Linked DNA regions of Notamacropus eugenii. Each later gene encodes a partner of the first gene's protein in a complex. Links are inferred from orthologs where the notes say so. Each region holds a gene or a part of one and is shown on either strand. Other genes may lie near its edges.

Region 1 (7,421 bases):
AAGCATCAGAGGCTGTATTTGAACCCAGTTCTTCTGACTCCAAAATGAATGTTACTTTTTCTAAGCATCACTATGTTAATATTGTTAAAAGAAAAATAAACTTTAAACAGTTTAAGAAAAACTAAGAAACTTGCCACCACTCAAAACAATTAAAGAAAAAATGCAGTAAGGAAACTCTGTGAGATAAAATACTAGACATATCAAGATTTCAAGATTTGATTCAATGTCAAAAAGTAGGTTTATGGAGCAACCAACATTTCCAATTAAGATTATCACAAGCTCATGGATCTCAAGTGATAAAATACTGAATTTAAACAGTAACATAATTTCCTTTATTCTGTCATCAAAGTGAAAACGCTTTTATCATTGGCATGCTACAATAAATATTATAATATCAGCTGCTAGATGCTCTTTTTTCCCATGGCAACTCACTGACTTGTAAAAGCAAATGCAGGAGACAAGAAAAGAGTGAAATTAAACTCAGTTTATATAGTGGATCTTTGAAGCTATGTCTGGATCTCACTCTAACAAACTGTTTATAGATTTCATTATTTACAAATTATTAAATACATGAAAACATACCTAGATGAAATTTTTATGTACCGAGGCACAAAATGTATTCAAAAAGCAGTATGCCAACTGATTTGGTAAATCTGCGCTACTCAAACAAATTCGATAAACATTGGTTTCTGCTGTCAGAGGAAAAGATCAGCAATTTGACAGTAAGACTTGGAAATACCTGAGTAGATAAACAGCCCTTTCAATATCATTGAGTTCTTCATCAACTGTTAGCCTTTCTATTTCTTCTGGTGTCTGTCAAATGTGAAATACAAATTATGTAGAAAATTTCTCAGGGTCAACTCTGGAACCCATTCCCCCACCACTCCAAATGCTAAAAACTAAGAAGGAATTTTATCTTCCCACAAAGATCAGTGAGATCCTATCAAGGGGCTTGGATTGAAGAGAGGAACTTCAAATTTCAAATACTGAGGGAAGGAGGGAGGAAGAATCTTTTTTCCCCCACTATTTATTAAACAGGAATGACGGCTTGAAAAGGGAAGTCATTCTCAAGTATGAGTGTTCCTTCACCTTCTCTGCGAGGTCTCCTCTTTCTGGATGTGGGAGGTGGAAGAGAGGAGTAAAGGAAAGGGCTCCCGGTGTGTAAGGAGTGCCAGTAGCAATCGGAGACAAGTGTTTTCTCCCCACTCATTCTGCCCACTCCCCTCCTTCTCCCACAGCTGCTGAGGCTCTGGAAGAAGGCAAGGGGATAGGTCCCTCGGGAAAGGCTCCCTTTGCTTAGAGACCCCCAAAGAAAAGGTGGGAAGAAGACCAAACAGGGGCCAGAGAATGAAAAAGGGCTAGAGGAGAAGGAAGAGGAGAGCCTGCACAAAGCATCCAGGCTTTCCTCCCCGCCTGGAGGGGCCAGCGACCACTGGGGAAAGAAGGCAAAGAGGGTTCGGAGAGGGCTGGGGACATGAGACGGGACCTGGAACGAGTTCTTTCTAACCTTCCCCTCTCCACCTGCAGTTCACTTTTCCACCCCCACTGATAATAGGGCAATTACAGGGAAATGCGGGTGAGGAGAGGGGCTGCGGAGGTAGGATGGGAGGAGAGGTGATGGAGATGCCTTCTAGGTGCCCACCTTCCCTTGACTGCTGGGGCAGAGAGGGGGAAGAGGAGGCGTGGAAAGGTGCTCTGGGCATGAGCTGGGAGAAAGCAGGACAAGTTCTCTTCATCCCCAAGTTTGGTTTTCTTAAATCCTTGGCTTACTGGGGAGCTGGCGGGGGGATGGTCTTCAGGAGCCCCTGACTAACCCGGGGCAGTGAGGATGGGAAGGCTTCTCTTTTCCCCAGTCTCCTGCGGCCCCAGAGGATGACTGTGGGAAGGGGGGAGGGGAGGGCAGGGAAGCAGACAGTGCCCCTGGAGATGGAGAGGTGGGACCCCAGATGGGATGGGCACCGACACCCCTCCTTCGGCTGGAGCCCCCGAGGACGGTTGGGGAAGTGTGATCATCCCGACCCCATCCCTGCTGCTCTCTGCGTGAGTCAGGGGAAGACGCAGGGGTGCCAACACCGATGGGGATGGGACGGAGCCGGGCAGGAGCTTTCTGCCCCCCTCACTGGAACCCCTGAAGATGAAGGGAGGTGGGGGGCGGAGAAGTAAGATGGCACCCCAGACTTCTCTGGGGGAGCCTCTCAAAGACTCGATGGGATAGGATGGGGTGGCATGGGGAGGGGGGCTGGTGCTCTCCCCACCCTCACGTCTTGATCTCCTGGAACCCATGAAGATGTAGGGGAGGCGGCGGGGAGGTGGGATAAGACCCCGGACTCTTCTGCGGGGAAGCCCCGCGAAGACGCGGAGGCGGTGGAGGGACCCCCGGGGAGCCCCCGGACGGCGCGGGACGGGGTCGGGTGCCTTCCCCTCGCTCGCCTCCCTCGCCTCCCCCGCCTCCTGGTCTCCGGGACCCCCGGGGAGGAGGGGAGCCCCCGGACGGCACGGCACGGGACGGGGTCAGGGGCGGGGGCCGGCTCCCTCCGGCGTCCGTACCTTGAGGCTCCGCCGCACCGGCCTCTCGATGATGGTGAGCTCCTGCAGGTCCTCGATGTAGCCGAACAGGCTGTTCTGACTGAAATCCATCTCGGCGGAGAGCGGCAGCGGAGGCATGGAAGGCGGGCCGCCGCCTCCTCGTCCTGCGCCGCCGCCGCCCGGCTCGGACCAGCCCCGGGGACTCTCGGGCCCAGCCCGCCGGCCGGGACACCAGCCCCTACTTTTTTTTTTCCCTTTTTCCCCCGCCCCAGACTCCCCCCTCCCCTTGAATGGGAGAGGGGGAGGGAGGAGGGAGAAAGGGGGAGGGGCTGTGGGGAGGAAAGGGGGAGGGACGAAGGGAGGGAGGGAAGGAGGGAAAGAGGGAAGGAAGAGAGGAAAGAGGGCGGGCGTGTGCAGGGCTCAGGGGGCGGAGAGAAACAGCCAGAGCCGCGCAGCTCAGGCGCCTAGTCCGTCCAGAACCCCGCCCCCTCCCGTGACGTCGCGTGGCGTCCTCACGCAACCGCCGGGACAACGTCACAGGTACCACTCCCTCCCTCCTCCGAGGCTCCGCCCATTCCTCCCACTCCTCCTTCCACTCCCCCTCCCTCTCCCCACCTATTGCTCCCCTTTGGGTTAGGTGGACTGGCAGTGGGCTCTTTCTCTGCTCTAGTCCCCCTTTTCTCCTTAAGAAGCGAATTGTCCATTCCTTTTCAGAAATTAAGGGAAAGGACCTGAGGAGGAGAAGGAGAAGGTTTTGGACTGTGAGGAGGAGAACTTGGTGGGGGGCGGGGCTCCTCCAAAAGTGTTCCCCCCCAGATTGGAGGATAACCTGGAAAGAAGAGGTCCCTTGTGTTTGCAGGTGACATAGATTAATGGCATTGGACCCTTGGAGTGGCCGAACCTTCTGAAAGACCTGGACGCCCTCAAAAGAGTTTAACCTGACAATCTACGTTGGAAAAACCAAGTGGATGAAGATTGTTCCTTCCCTGTGCAAGCTGGGAAGATAGAATGCTGAGCCTGGAGTAGGGAGGACTTCTTCCTGAGTTCGAATCTGGTCTCAAACACTTACTAGGGTTGTGATCCTGAGCAAATCACTTAACCTGTGTTTGCCCCAGTTTCTTCATCTGTAAAATGAACTGGAGAAGGAAATGGCAAACCACTCTAGTATCTTTGCCAAGAACACCCCAAATGGGGCCACAAACTAAAATGACCCAACAACCACAACGTACATCTTGGACATTGACCTGGGTCCAGGATCACATAAGAGGATAGAGGCTGTATGACCTTCTGGAAATTTCAAAAAACTTCCAATGATTCCAAACAACTCCCTGCCACAAAAGTTCATCTTTTTAACACCAAGGTTCTGTCTGGGACGATGCAGGGCTGAACACAATGTCAAAAGCATTACTAATGTAAGTGACCCCAAAGGACAGCAGAAAGGTGCATGGTAGATGAAAGCAGGTTGCAATATATTAATCATGAATGATTTATACCTCTGTCAGCCCTGGTTTCCTCCTTGGCAATATGGGGATAATAACCCTATTTCACTGGGTTGTTGTGAGGATCAAAAGAGAGAACAAACATAAAGCACTTTGGAAATCTGAGAATGCTATAGAAGTATTAGTTATCATTATTATATGTTATTATCAAGAAATAATGAAAAATTGTCAAGGACCTATATAGTGAGAAAGGGGGATAAGCCAATAATGGAACAAGAATGAAGAATGATGGATGAACAACCTAAGTGCTATGCCAATACCTATGAAACTGTAAAAAGTACCAAAGGAAGGCTTTCATCATATTGGTTGGATTCTTTACGAAGGTCTTCTAGAAGGACCTAGACAAGAACAGTACAGGATTAGAAGGTCTGTGTTATTTGGGAGTCTCTCTGTTATAGAAACAAGAAAATCTGATCAGTTTCCCTTTGGAATTATTTTCTCCTTTTAGTTTCATAATAAATTGCCATTCCTGGAGAGGTAAATAACAGGCCACTCCCAGAATGTACATATCCTAATGAGGTTCATTGAAGGATATTATTTGCAACTCCAAAAGATTTTGGGAGAGCTAGAAATGGGATGATATTGTGTTCCTCTGAGCCTTCAGCTGGCCCTCCATCAGTCATTTGGGCATTGCAGAGACCAGTGGTTTGAGATTAGCTCATGAAGAGTGGTAACTCCCAGATGGCTCCTGGGAGTTGCAGTGTGCCAGATTGGCTCACCAGCTTTTTCCTGTGAATACAGAAAAGGTCCTTCCTCTGATGTGTGTTGGTAATGTTTCATTTTTCAGTTCCCAGGGATTCTAGGTTGTGATTAGCTAGATTGGGTGGCAGATGTCAGAATAATCATATTTCTTATCTCTGCTCCGGATATGAGAATCTGTTGTTTATAAGAACTAGGATGCTATCAAAAAACTTTTTTCATTAGGGCTAAGATGAGCATCAGAATTTTTGGAAACAGGGAGAGATGTCAGCAGTTTAGAGGTATAAGGCAAAAATAGTAGCATAACAAACTGCATGGGTAAATAGGAAAACAAAACATGAACAGGCACTATGGTGTCCCTGAATATTGTTTAACTCTAAATAACTTGATCTCTACCAAGAAGGATGACCTTGAAGCATGATCTGTTTGTGAAAAGACAATAGAGGTTTTGCTTTAAGGAGATACAGCTCTCCCCTGTGCTAATAACTAATGACAGTTCTTTCTAAAGCATTTTGAGGTTTTAAAAATCTTAATAACAGGCATATCGCTGTATACAGTATGAAAATGAATATACTGACTACAAACCACACATGGATGCATTGCAGTAGTCATGCGTAGTTCAGCTGACACGCAGCTGCAATCTTTATAGACAGAGGGATGTACACATATCCATTCAATGTGCAAAAACGTTGCTAAGTGTTGGGAATAAAAAGGTAGATATGACATCATCTCCACCTTGAAGAGCTTATAAATCTATTAAGGGAGTTACAACATGTGCATATATGGCAATAGTAGAAAGTAGATCTATGGAGAAAAAGAGTATAGTATAAAGTGAATGGTAAAAGAGAGGTCCTGGCAAAGAAAATTTCTTGAAGAAGTAGAGTCCCATTTTGCATTAATCTCCCACAAGGAGGAAGTTCCTTAGCTAGAGAATAGTCCAATAGTGCATTTGATTACCTCTTAAAGTAGTGAGTTCCTGGTCACTGGGGGTACTCAGTCAAAGGCACCATACCACAATCATAGAGATGAGAGAAGGAACTCCAGGCCTAGGTGACAAGTTGTATTAGATGCCCTCAAGGGAGCCAGAATTGTGCCAGTAGAAGGAACACTGAATTTGAAGTTAGAAGAAAATCCCAGCCTTTCGACTCTCTCTCTACCTGTGTGACCTCAGGTAAATGATGTGCCCTCTCTCAGAACTTAGTTTCTTCATCTGTAAAATAAGAGAGTTGGCTTAACTTGAAGGTTTCTTCTAGCTAGCTGAAAAGATATTAATTGCAAATTTTAGGGCAACTAGGTGTGGTGCAGGATAGAGTGCTGGACCTGAAGTCAGGAAAACTCATCTTCCTTAGACAAAGTCAGCCTCAGACACTTAATAGCTGTGTGACCCTGGGGCAAATCACTTAACCTCATTTGACTCAGTTTCCTTATCTGTAAAGTGAGCTGGAGAAGGAAATGGCAAAGTACTCCAGTATCTTTGCCAAGAAAACCTCAAATGGGGTCACAAAGAGTGAGACATGACTGAAACGGAACAACAAACTACTTAAATATAAACTCAATTCACTTATAGACATGTTGAACTGTAAAATTTTCAGCACAGAAATTGTTTTCTTTCATCAGTCTCTGTAAATCTTACATTAAAATCTGAAGATTATCTTCAGCTAGGTGAGGCAGTGGTAGGCTTGGAGTCAAGAAAACCTGAGTGCAAATCCTGACTCGGATACTTACTAGCAGTGTGACCCTGGGCAAGTCACTTAACCTCTGTCTCAACCAGTTTTCTCATCTGTAAAAAGAGGGATGATAATAATAGCACAGACCTCATGGAATTGTGGTGAGGATCAAATAAAATACATATATATCATATATATATCTATAAAGTGCTCTGTAAACCTTAAAATCTGTACAAATTCTGGCTATTATTATCATCATCATCATAACCCTTTTATCTTAAAAATGAAGAAATGAGAAGAATAGAAGAACTTCCAGAAACTAGGAAGCACTTACCCAAAGTTATACAAGATCTGTTTTCATACGTGGAAAATAAAGTTACATTTCTCTTAATGGTCAGATTAGAAATTTTCTCTATTACTTTCCAGGTCCTCTTTTTCACCTGAGTGTGCCCAAAGGAGAGAGATGCATTGCTCTCTCTCTCTCTCTCTCTCTCTCTCCCTCCCTCCCCCACCCTTTCTCCTTTTCTTCTCTACTTCTTCCCTTTCTCTCCTAACCCACTGGAAAAGAGGTGTTTTTCTCATGTATGGGTAGCTTTTTTTTGGTTTTGATTCAACAATGGGGCAGATTTTTGCCTCCAAAGGTGATGATATATGCAGAGAGCAGATTGTGCATTTGTCTCCTGGGAAGAGGTGGGCGAGGAAAGACAGAATAAGGTAGGGGGAGGGAGAGTTTTGTAGAGGGACAGAGCAGGAGGAATCAGGGAGCTGTCTGTAAGGTTGCTTCTAGAAGTAGCAGCGAAGAGCTGATTATAGGTGTGAGCCCAGAAGCTCTGGATGTGGGTGCAAGAACATGCTTTTGGGCTTGAATGTCAAGGTGGTACTGACAGTTGCCCTGGTAATAGGTATAGGAAAGAGGCGGTGGGTTGGTCTTGCAGGCAGCCTTCCCGGAAGTTACAGCAAGTAGCACACTCTTTAGGGTTCCTCTAATTTCGGGGAGTGGAGAGATGGGACATGACAAAAGTTGAATGGA
Region 2 (7,321 bases), about 280 kb from region 1:
AACGGCCATTTCCCCACAGCCCATCCAACAAATCAAATATTCTTTTCTATTATAGTGGATGCAAAGTAGTGTTCCAAGGCCATCTAGACAGGCATCTCTCTGGTTATTGGAATTTAAGAATTTTTTTGTGTAGTTAACCAGTTTGTATTTTCATCTTCGAAAATTGCTGTCACATCCCTAGATCACTGAGGAATGTGATTAAGTCTTACAGAAACATGTGTCAGTTCCTTACAGATTCCAGATTTTCTGGATTAACTGTTTCCAATGAACAAACACAGTGTTGAATTCTGTTTTTTAATCCATTCTGTGACTTCTTCATTTTATTGGAGAGCTTAATCCATTCTTATTTATTAGCATTATAAAATTGTTAGGTTTGCCTTTTCTTCAACCATTCTATAGAAAGGGAACATACATTTTCTTATTATTTGACATTAAATTAAAAAAAAACACTTTAAACCAACTTCTTTAGTCTTATTAATAAGGGCATACCTTTGTCAGAAGCACATTACTGAAACAGTAATTATCCAAAACGATACTGAGGGTTCAACATAACAGTGTTGATTTGAGGAGTGTTTTAAATATCTGTCCTTTTTGGCTGAGATTTGACTGTTTTAAGATTTCCTTTAAAGCCACAGGTTTCACTGTAAACTGAAAAAAGCCTGAATACTTCTCAAATGCTGATAATTCATACCTTAAACAGTGTACTAAGTTTCACTGGGCAAATAATTCTAGTTTTTTTTTGCGTACATTCTTATATTCCAGTTCCTCTAACTATCCCTTATCCTCCATGATTTCTACTATGATTCTGATATTTCCTATATTTCTCCTTGCATCTCGAAATATTTTTTTCATATCATTGTAGTTTTGAAGCTTAAAAATCTTGGAGCCTTCCTTATTGTTCGATGGATTCTATTTTGCTGTATGAATTTGCTTTTTCTGAGAAATTTTCTATGAAGATTTCTTGAAAGTGTTCATATTCTTTTTCTCAATTTTCTGTGATTTCAGTAATGCCCAAATTGTCAGCTTGTGAAGCATCCCTTGAGTTTGTCATTTGATTCTGAGAATTTAAACATTTTTTTTTTTGAAGCCAGTATATCCAATTGTTAAGTATTGCACATAAATCAGCTTTTCCATAGTGTATTGGTTTTTTGAGGTTTTTCTATCATGTGCTCCATTACCTTTTTTCTTCAGTTTCTTCCCAAAAATTTTTTTTTTGGAGGGGAAGGCTTTTTAAATTCTAAAATGAGTACCTATGTGACTTTTACTTTCTTGAACCTCTTTTTCTGGTCTTACAATTTTATTACATCATGTTAATTTTCTCAATTTCTTCAAATATGTTAATTTTTACTTATGTGTGGTTTTTTCCTTGCCATTTTTCTTCTTTGGTGATTATTTTTTAAAAGGCATTTGAGGGACCTGACTGCATTTAAACTGAGTGGAAAGTGAACTTTCTAGTTTCAAAAATACTTCACTATAAACTTGTGTGAAGATGTATTTTGAAGCTTAATCTTCAATGACCACAGATTGCCCCCTTTAGCTCACTGAAATTTAGGGACAGCACAGAGGAGAGTAGTCATCAAAAAATGATTTGGAAAAAAATCTGGCTGTGGAACTATTCAAATTGAGTAAGTAGCAATGAAGCACTTTACTCAGGGTCACTAAGCATGTTAGAGATGGGTCTTGAACCCAGGAGCTCCAGACTTCAAGGTCAGCCATCTTGCCATGTTTTCCATAGTTTAAACAAGAAAAAGGGCCAGTACAAAACAATTTAATCAGCTCTTATAGGAAGTTCTCTGGACAAAGAACAATATTACCAACAAACTACTCTGAAAAGTAAAATAGCACATGTCTCTGAAATCAAAGTATTATTTTTTTTATTAAATGCAAAGTTAGCCTATCCACTCTTGTTGATATGAAACTGGAGCTCAAGTGTGTACTATTTCCAAAATCCACTTATGGGAGTTCTCCAAAGAGTAAGAAATAGCTCATGAATCTCTTAGCGCCTTGTAAAAACGACATATCCGTTTTGCTGATGGGCAAACTAGCAATCACAAAAGTGATGAAAAGACTCCCTCAAGGTCACTCGAATGAAAACCCCCCTCAGACAGCAAGCTCCTGGAGGGCAGAGTACTCCCTGACGCCTAACTCGGCATCTGGGAACACTAACTTTTGCTTCCTGTTTCCAGCGCTTAACACGGTGCCTGCAAACATCATAACACAGAAAGGTCTGCACGTCCAGCCCTCGGCGGTAGCGTCCAGCACACAGCGGGAGCAAGTCATAACTGCCTACCGCCTGATTTATGAGAAGGAGAAGCGGCCTTCAGTGCCCCAGACCGCAGCCCAGCCACAAGTGGCGCGCACACACACGCACGCACACACGCACACACACCTGTGCGCCTCAGGAGCACGGCCGCAGGTCCCCTCTCACACGTAGGAAAGCACAAACACACCGGTCCTCGGGAGGGAGGGAAAGGAAACGTTGCTCGAACTGGGGGGAGGGGGTGTGGATGGAAACGACTCGGGGGCGACCCCTCATTCTTAACTCGCGGGGTTCCCTGACGGAGCCCCCTCCCCACCCGCCCCGTTCTCCCCGGGGCAGTCTCGGGGGTCCCGCGGCGCCCAGGGCGGGCCGTCCCCCCTAGAAGCTCCAGCACCCCCCGCCCCGTTGACTTGAACTTGCCTCCGAGGGGAGGACGCCGGAGGGGGGTCTCTCACTCACCGTCGCTCTCCGCCCTGACAAGCAGGGACATGCCCTTCAGCCTCTCCACGTAGCCCGAGGTCACATGCCCGGTGCCCCGGTCGTCCCACTGCCGGTCCTCGTTGAGCGTGTAGACCTTCACCCGTCTCCGGGTGTCGGTCATCCTGCCGCCCCCCCCCGCAGCCACCGCCCGGGGAGGGGGTGAGGGGTGAGGGTGGGGGAGACGCCCCGCGGGCCCCAGGAGGGGGAGGGGAGGCGGGAGGCCCGGACCGACGGGGCCCTCTCCGCTCAGCACCGCGCACCGCGGCCTCCCGGCAGGGGGCCTTCACTCCCACGCGCGGCGGCCTCCTCCCTCATGTCACGGCCCGGGAGGCCGGGGTTGGGGGCGGGAGACACCAGGGGGGCCGGGGTCTGGATCGGCCGTGCCCCCCGCGAGCGTTGCCCCGCTGCTCCTGCGCGGATCTATTGTCCAGGCCCAGCTGCCCACCACGGGGTCGGAGGAGCGATGGCCTCCACCGGGCGTCGGGCGCGGGTCACTGCCCTGCTCCCGCCTCCGCCATGCCCTTCCTTCGCCAAGCCGCTTCCAGCCGCCGCCGCCTCAGGCCGCCGCCATGTTCTCCTTCCTCATACCCGGGCCCCGTCGCCGCGGCCGCCCCCGGCGGCTCCGCTGCTCCCCTGCGCTCTCCGGGTCTCGAGCGTGTCCGCCCCCGGCCTGTGCCCCTGCGCCCGCCGCTTCTCCAGAGACGGCGAGGGCCCCCCCGGTCGTACCTGGGGCGCCCTTCCCAACGCCAGGTCCCCTCTCGGCCGCCGCCGCCGCTTCTTCCTCCTCCCTCACGGAACCAAAGCAGCCGCCATCTTGGTTCATCCCTCAATAGAGGCGCGCGGGGTCTTCTACCCCACAGCTGCAGGGGCCGCGCCGAGGCCACGCCATTTAAAGGTACAGGCACCGCAGTTAGTGGCGCCGGCCGGGTAGAGAAGATTCAGAAGGAGGGAGGGAGGGAGGGAGAGAAGGGAAAAGGAGGGGAGAGGAAAGGGCGGGACTGGTGTTTCCGAGGCTAGACCGGAAGCGAGCGCGACTGCTCTGGGGAGCTCTCTGCCCAAGGAGCCCCGTCGCCCTAGTGACGGGCCCGGACTTCCTAGAGATTCCTCGCGCACGCGGGTGCGCTGAACCTCGGGCCCGGCTGCGCCGAGCCGCCTCCCGTCGCTCCCTGCCTACGTCATCAGCCTGGCAGATGAATTTCAAACTGCGGAGAGCCCGCCCGAGCCGGGTCCGGGCAGCGGCTCCGCCTGGAGCTCCACCCACGTGCGCTCGCGGGCTGAGGCTGGGGGCGGTCCTGGAGCCTGAACACGGACCACCCCCCTCCCCGCTTTCTGCCAATGAAATCCCGACTCCTCCCCCCAGCCCCGCCTTGGCCGGCCACGGCTTTTTTTTTTTTTTTTTTTTTTTTTTTTTAAGCAGCTGCTGTTTTCTCTTCCGCGCTTGGTGCTCCTGATCCTCAGGTGGTTCGGGAAAGGAAATCTGGTCTCTTGTCTCCCTGTCTCTGTCTGTCTGTCTGTCTGCCTGCCCCCTTTCTTAATAACTGAAGCAAGCGGTAAAAGCAGAACTCTGGTTTCTGTCCTGGCGATGGAGAGCACAGGAATCCGTGGTGGGGATTTCTTCTGCCCTCCGGCGCCCTCGCCGGATCCGAACGTGTCCGATACCTGCTCGTGGGCCTGCCCCGAGAGGGGGCTGGAAAGGACGCAGACCGAGGGGGGTCGGGACAAGGGGGCCCCGGACTTTACCTCTGCCTCACCAGGAGGTGAAAGGACCGGCCCAAACGGGTCCCGGGCCCCTGGCAAAGCTGGGACTAGGTCCTAGCTAGGTCCGGGCTCCCGACCTGGGCTTTATTTCACTTAACACGTGCTTACAGGTTAAAGAACGAGGAAACCGTTTAATAGGAGTGTAGGGGTAGACCCTATAGAAGATGGCACACCACCGTCTCAGGGAGGGAGGGGGGATCTAAGATATGCAGAAGTGACTGTACAAAACTGGAAACAATGTTTAAAAAAGAATGAGGAAACGTGGCCCTGAGACCCAGGACCGCTAGATAATTCTTTGCCACCTCCCTATGGTGATGAAGAGTTCTTGGGATGGACTATTCACAGGCATTGGGGAAAGCTGCTTGTTTGGGGGTTCAGGGGACCTTGAAAAAGGAACTTCTTCCCAAGTTTTGGGGCAGTAAACAGGGAGGGTAGAGAGGAAAGAGTGGTAAGTGTATATACAGCAGGCAGCAAGAGCCACCAAGGTAGGATTAGGGCAGGAGGGAACTGGAGCTAAGATCAGTCCACACTGGCAGTCGTGGCTGAGAGTGAAGTCCAGTGCACAGATCCTTTCTTCCTTTCCCCCCCCCCCCTTTTTTTTAAACCTGAGTCGAAGCTGGGAAAAGTTCACCCTACGTTTAAATCTTAACTCTTTCCTTAGAGACCTGTCCCCCTTAGACTAGCTGGAAATAGGGTGGAGGAGGGAGAAAACTAGTAACCTTTTGAGTTCCACTGTAGTTTTCTATATTTTGTTTAAATGTCTCATTTCTGATTTAATTAAGACTGCTAATAAATGACATTAAACAGTGATTTGTCTAAGATTGTATGAGTTCATGATTTGGGATTGAGAGGGGGAAGCTAGTCTATGGGAGAAGAGATTTCCTTGGTTTTATTCTGGGGTAGGAGCCTAGTTAATTAAAGAGTTTCTCCAATTTTGAGTTATTTCTGAGGATATTCCAGAGTATGCCGCCTAGCCTGCCTCTGAATTTGGAGGAAAAAAAAAAAGAGACTTAGTATATTGCTTTAAGGTTTGCAAAGGGCATTGCAAAGATCTCATTATACCCTCAGAACAACCCTGGGGGGTGAGTACTATTAATTACCCCTGTTTTATAGAGGAGGAAACTGAGGCAGACAGAATTTAAATGACAGGGTCATACTGCTACCAAGTATCTGAGGCTCATTATTGCACCGTTTGCCATAATAAAATAATCCATTAGTGGGAGGGGTGGGGATCGGTGTGGATATACCAATATACCTCAAGCATTCTGCATCTTACATCTACACCTGAAAAAGAATTGTACTACAGTACTACTATAAGACATATGTATGTGTAGACAAGGCTATTTAAACATACAGACTCACAGGTAGTATGGATAGATATGATCTGAGGTCTGACCCACCTTTACACAGAATAGGTGGAGGACTGTGCACTGCTAATTTCCTAGTTGGTGGGGAGAGCTAGGCAGGAGGATCCAAGATAGCTGAAACTGGATGATCTCTCCTCTAGCAAGGGGGTTATTGGACTAGAATATCAATCTGCTACTCCTCAGATATTTCTAATCTAGGGATATAATTCAAAGGGATCTAGTCAGATTGAAAGCTCTTTTGTTGGTCAGTCTCAGAGGGGAAGGATAGCCTTTCGCTTACACCTGCCAACTGACTCCTTCCCACCAAACGCTGATAACTGAGAAGATCATCATGAAAAGATAGTGAACCTCTTTATCAAAGAAAGTAGGAAACAGAAATCACAGAAATTAAGCAGATTGGAATATACTACAAGAATACATAAAAGTAAATGATCCCTTCATCTGGGAGTGAGAGAAGATCTCAACTCAAACCAGGAGAGTGGGAATATCCTTACCAAGGGATGTCCACTCTCTAGCATTGCAAGCATGGAAATCAAGGGATGTAATGGGGACCAGCTTCCCCACATGTCTGCAGCTCTGGGGGCTCCCATTAGCCATTCAAAAGTTCATGCCTTGCTTCCCTAAACAGGTCTTGAGGTCCTCTCATGGAAGTGTGTCCCGCACACTGAAGCAGATCCCTTCTCCTTTCATGGTATCATGGCTCATTGTTCTCTAAGCCAATCAGGAGTCATGTCTCCTAACGGAACCAACACATGTCACAGGGCTCAGGAAAACCATCCACCTTTCCTAGGAGAGAGTGGGTGTTACATTCATAAGAACAAGAGGCACATTTCAAACCTATATCTTGTGCTCCTGAATCCATTATACTTTCATTAATGCCACACCACCTTTCTTGGTTCCCTTCATATCCAATATTTAAAATTATGGTATTTTAATGTTATTGTTTAGAAGTTTAGAATTTTTATTGACTTCCAAGGAGTCAGAGATTGCTGGGCAATGTGAGAATCACAGAAAATGGCACTTCCATGTTTTGTTAAAATGTTAGACTTTCTGATTATATAATAATGGGAACTTTTATTATATTATGATAAACAGACTCTTTTGAATAATATCAAAGAATATTCATCAAAACTATTTTTTCCAGTTCCATCAAGAATTGGTTAAGGAGCAAGGACCATCTTGACACTCTCATTATTTTGTTACCCTCTCTTTCTAGTTGATTCCATTTTGTTTGTGAAGTGGATGTTATTTCCTCCCCCCCTCCCAGAGCCCCTGGGTTGAGAAATGTCTGTTGAGTTTCTAGGCAGGGTTGGGCCTCCCTTGCCTAACAGCTGCCCCCCTTTGCCTAGTAGCCACTTTCTGTTGTGCCCCCTTGCCTAGCAGCCACCCTCCTTTGCCTAGTAGCTGCCCCCCTTTGCCTAGTAGCCACCCCCCTTTGCCTAGTAGCCACTTTCGG

The links. Proteins that work in one complex are often made in the same cells at the same time.
Region 2: PPP4R4 (region 1) and PPP4R3A share a complex: the UniProt entries of both Homo sapiens proteins name them as parts of the PP4 complex. The link is inferred for Notamacropus eugenii from reciprocal best matches to the Homo sapiens genes PPP4R4 and PPP4R3A.

The regions. Positions count from the first base shown.
Region 1 is NC_092878.1:35,497,773-35,505,193, forward strand, and holds the start of PPP4R4 (serine/threonine-protein phosphatase 4 regulatory subunit 4), read right to left. Parts: upstream 3,013-7,421; 5' UTR 2,665-3,012; coding exon 2,548-2,664; intron 814-2,547; coding exon 740-813; intron 1-739. UniProt on the Homo sapiens protein: Putative regulatory subunit of serine/threonine-protein phosphatase 4.
Region 2 is NC_092878.1:35,222,655-35,229,975, forward strand, and holds the start of PPP4R3A (serine/threonine-protein phosphatase 4 regulatory subunit 3A), read right to left. Parts: upstream 3,011-7,321; 5' UTR 2,862-3,010; coding exon 2,720-2,861; intron 1-2,719. UniProt on the Homo sapiens protein: Regulatory subunit of serine/threonine-protein phosphatase 4. May regulate the activity of PPP4C at centrosomal microtubule organizing centers.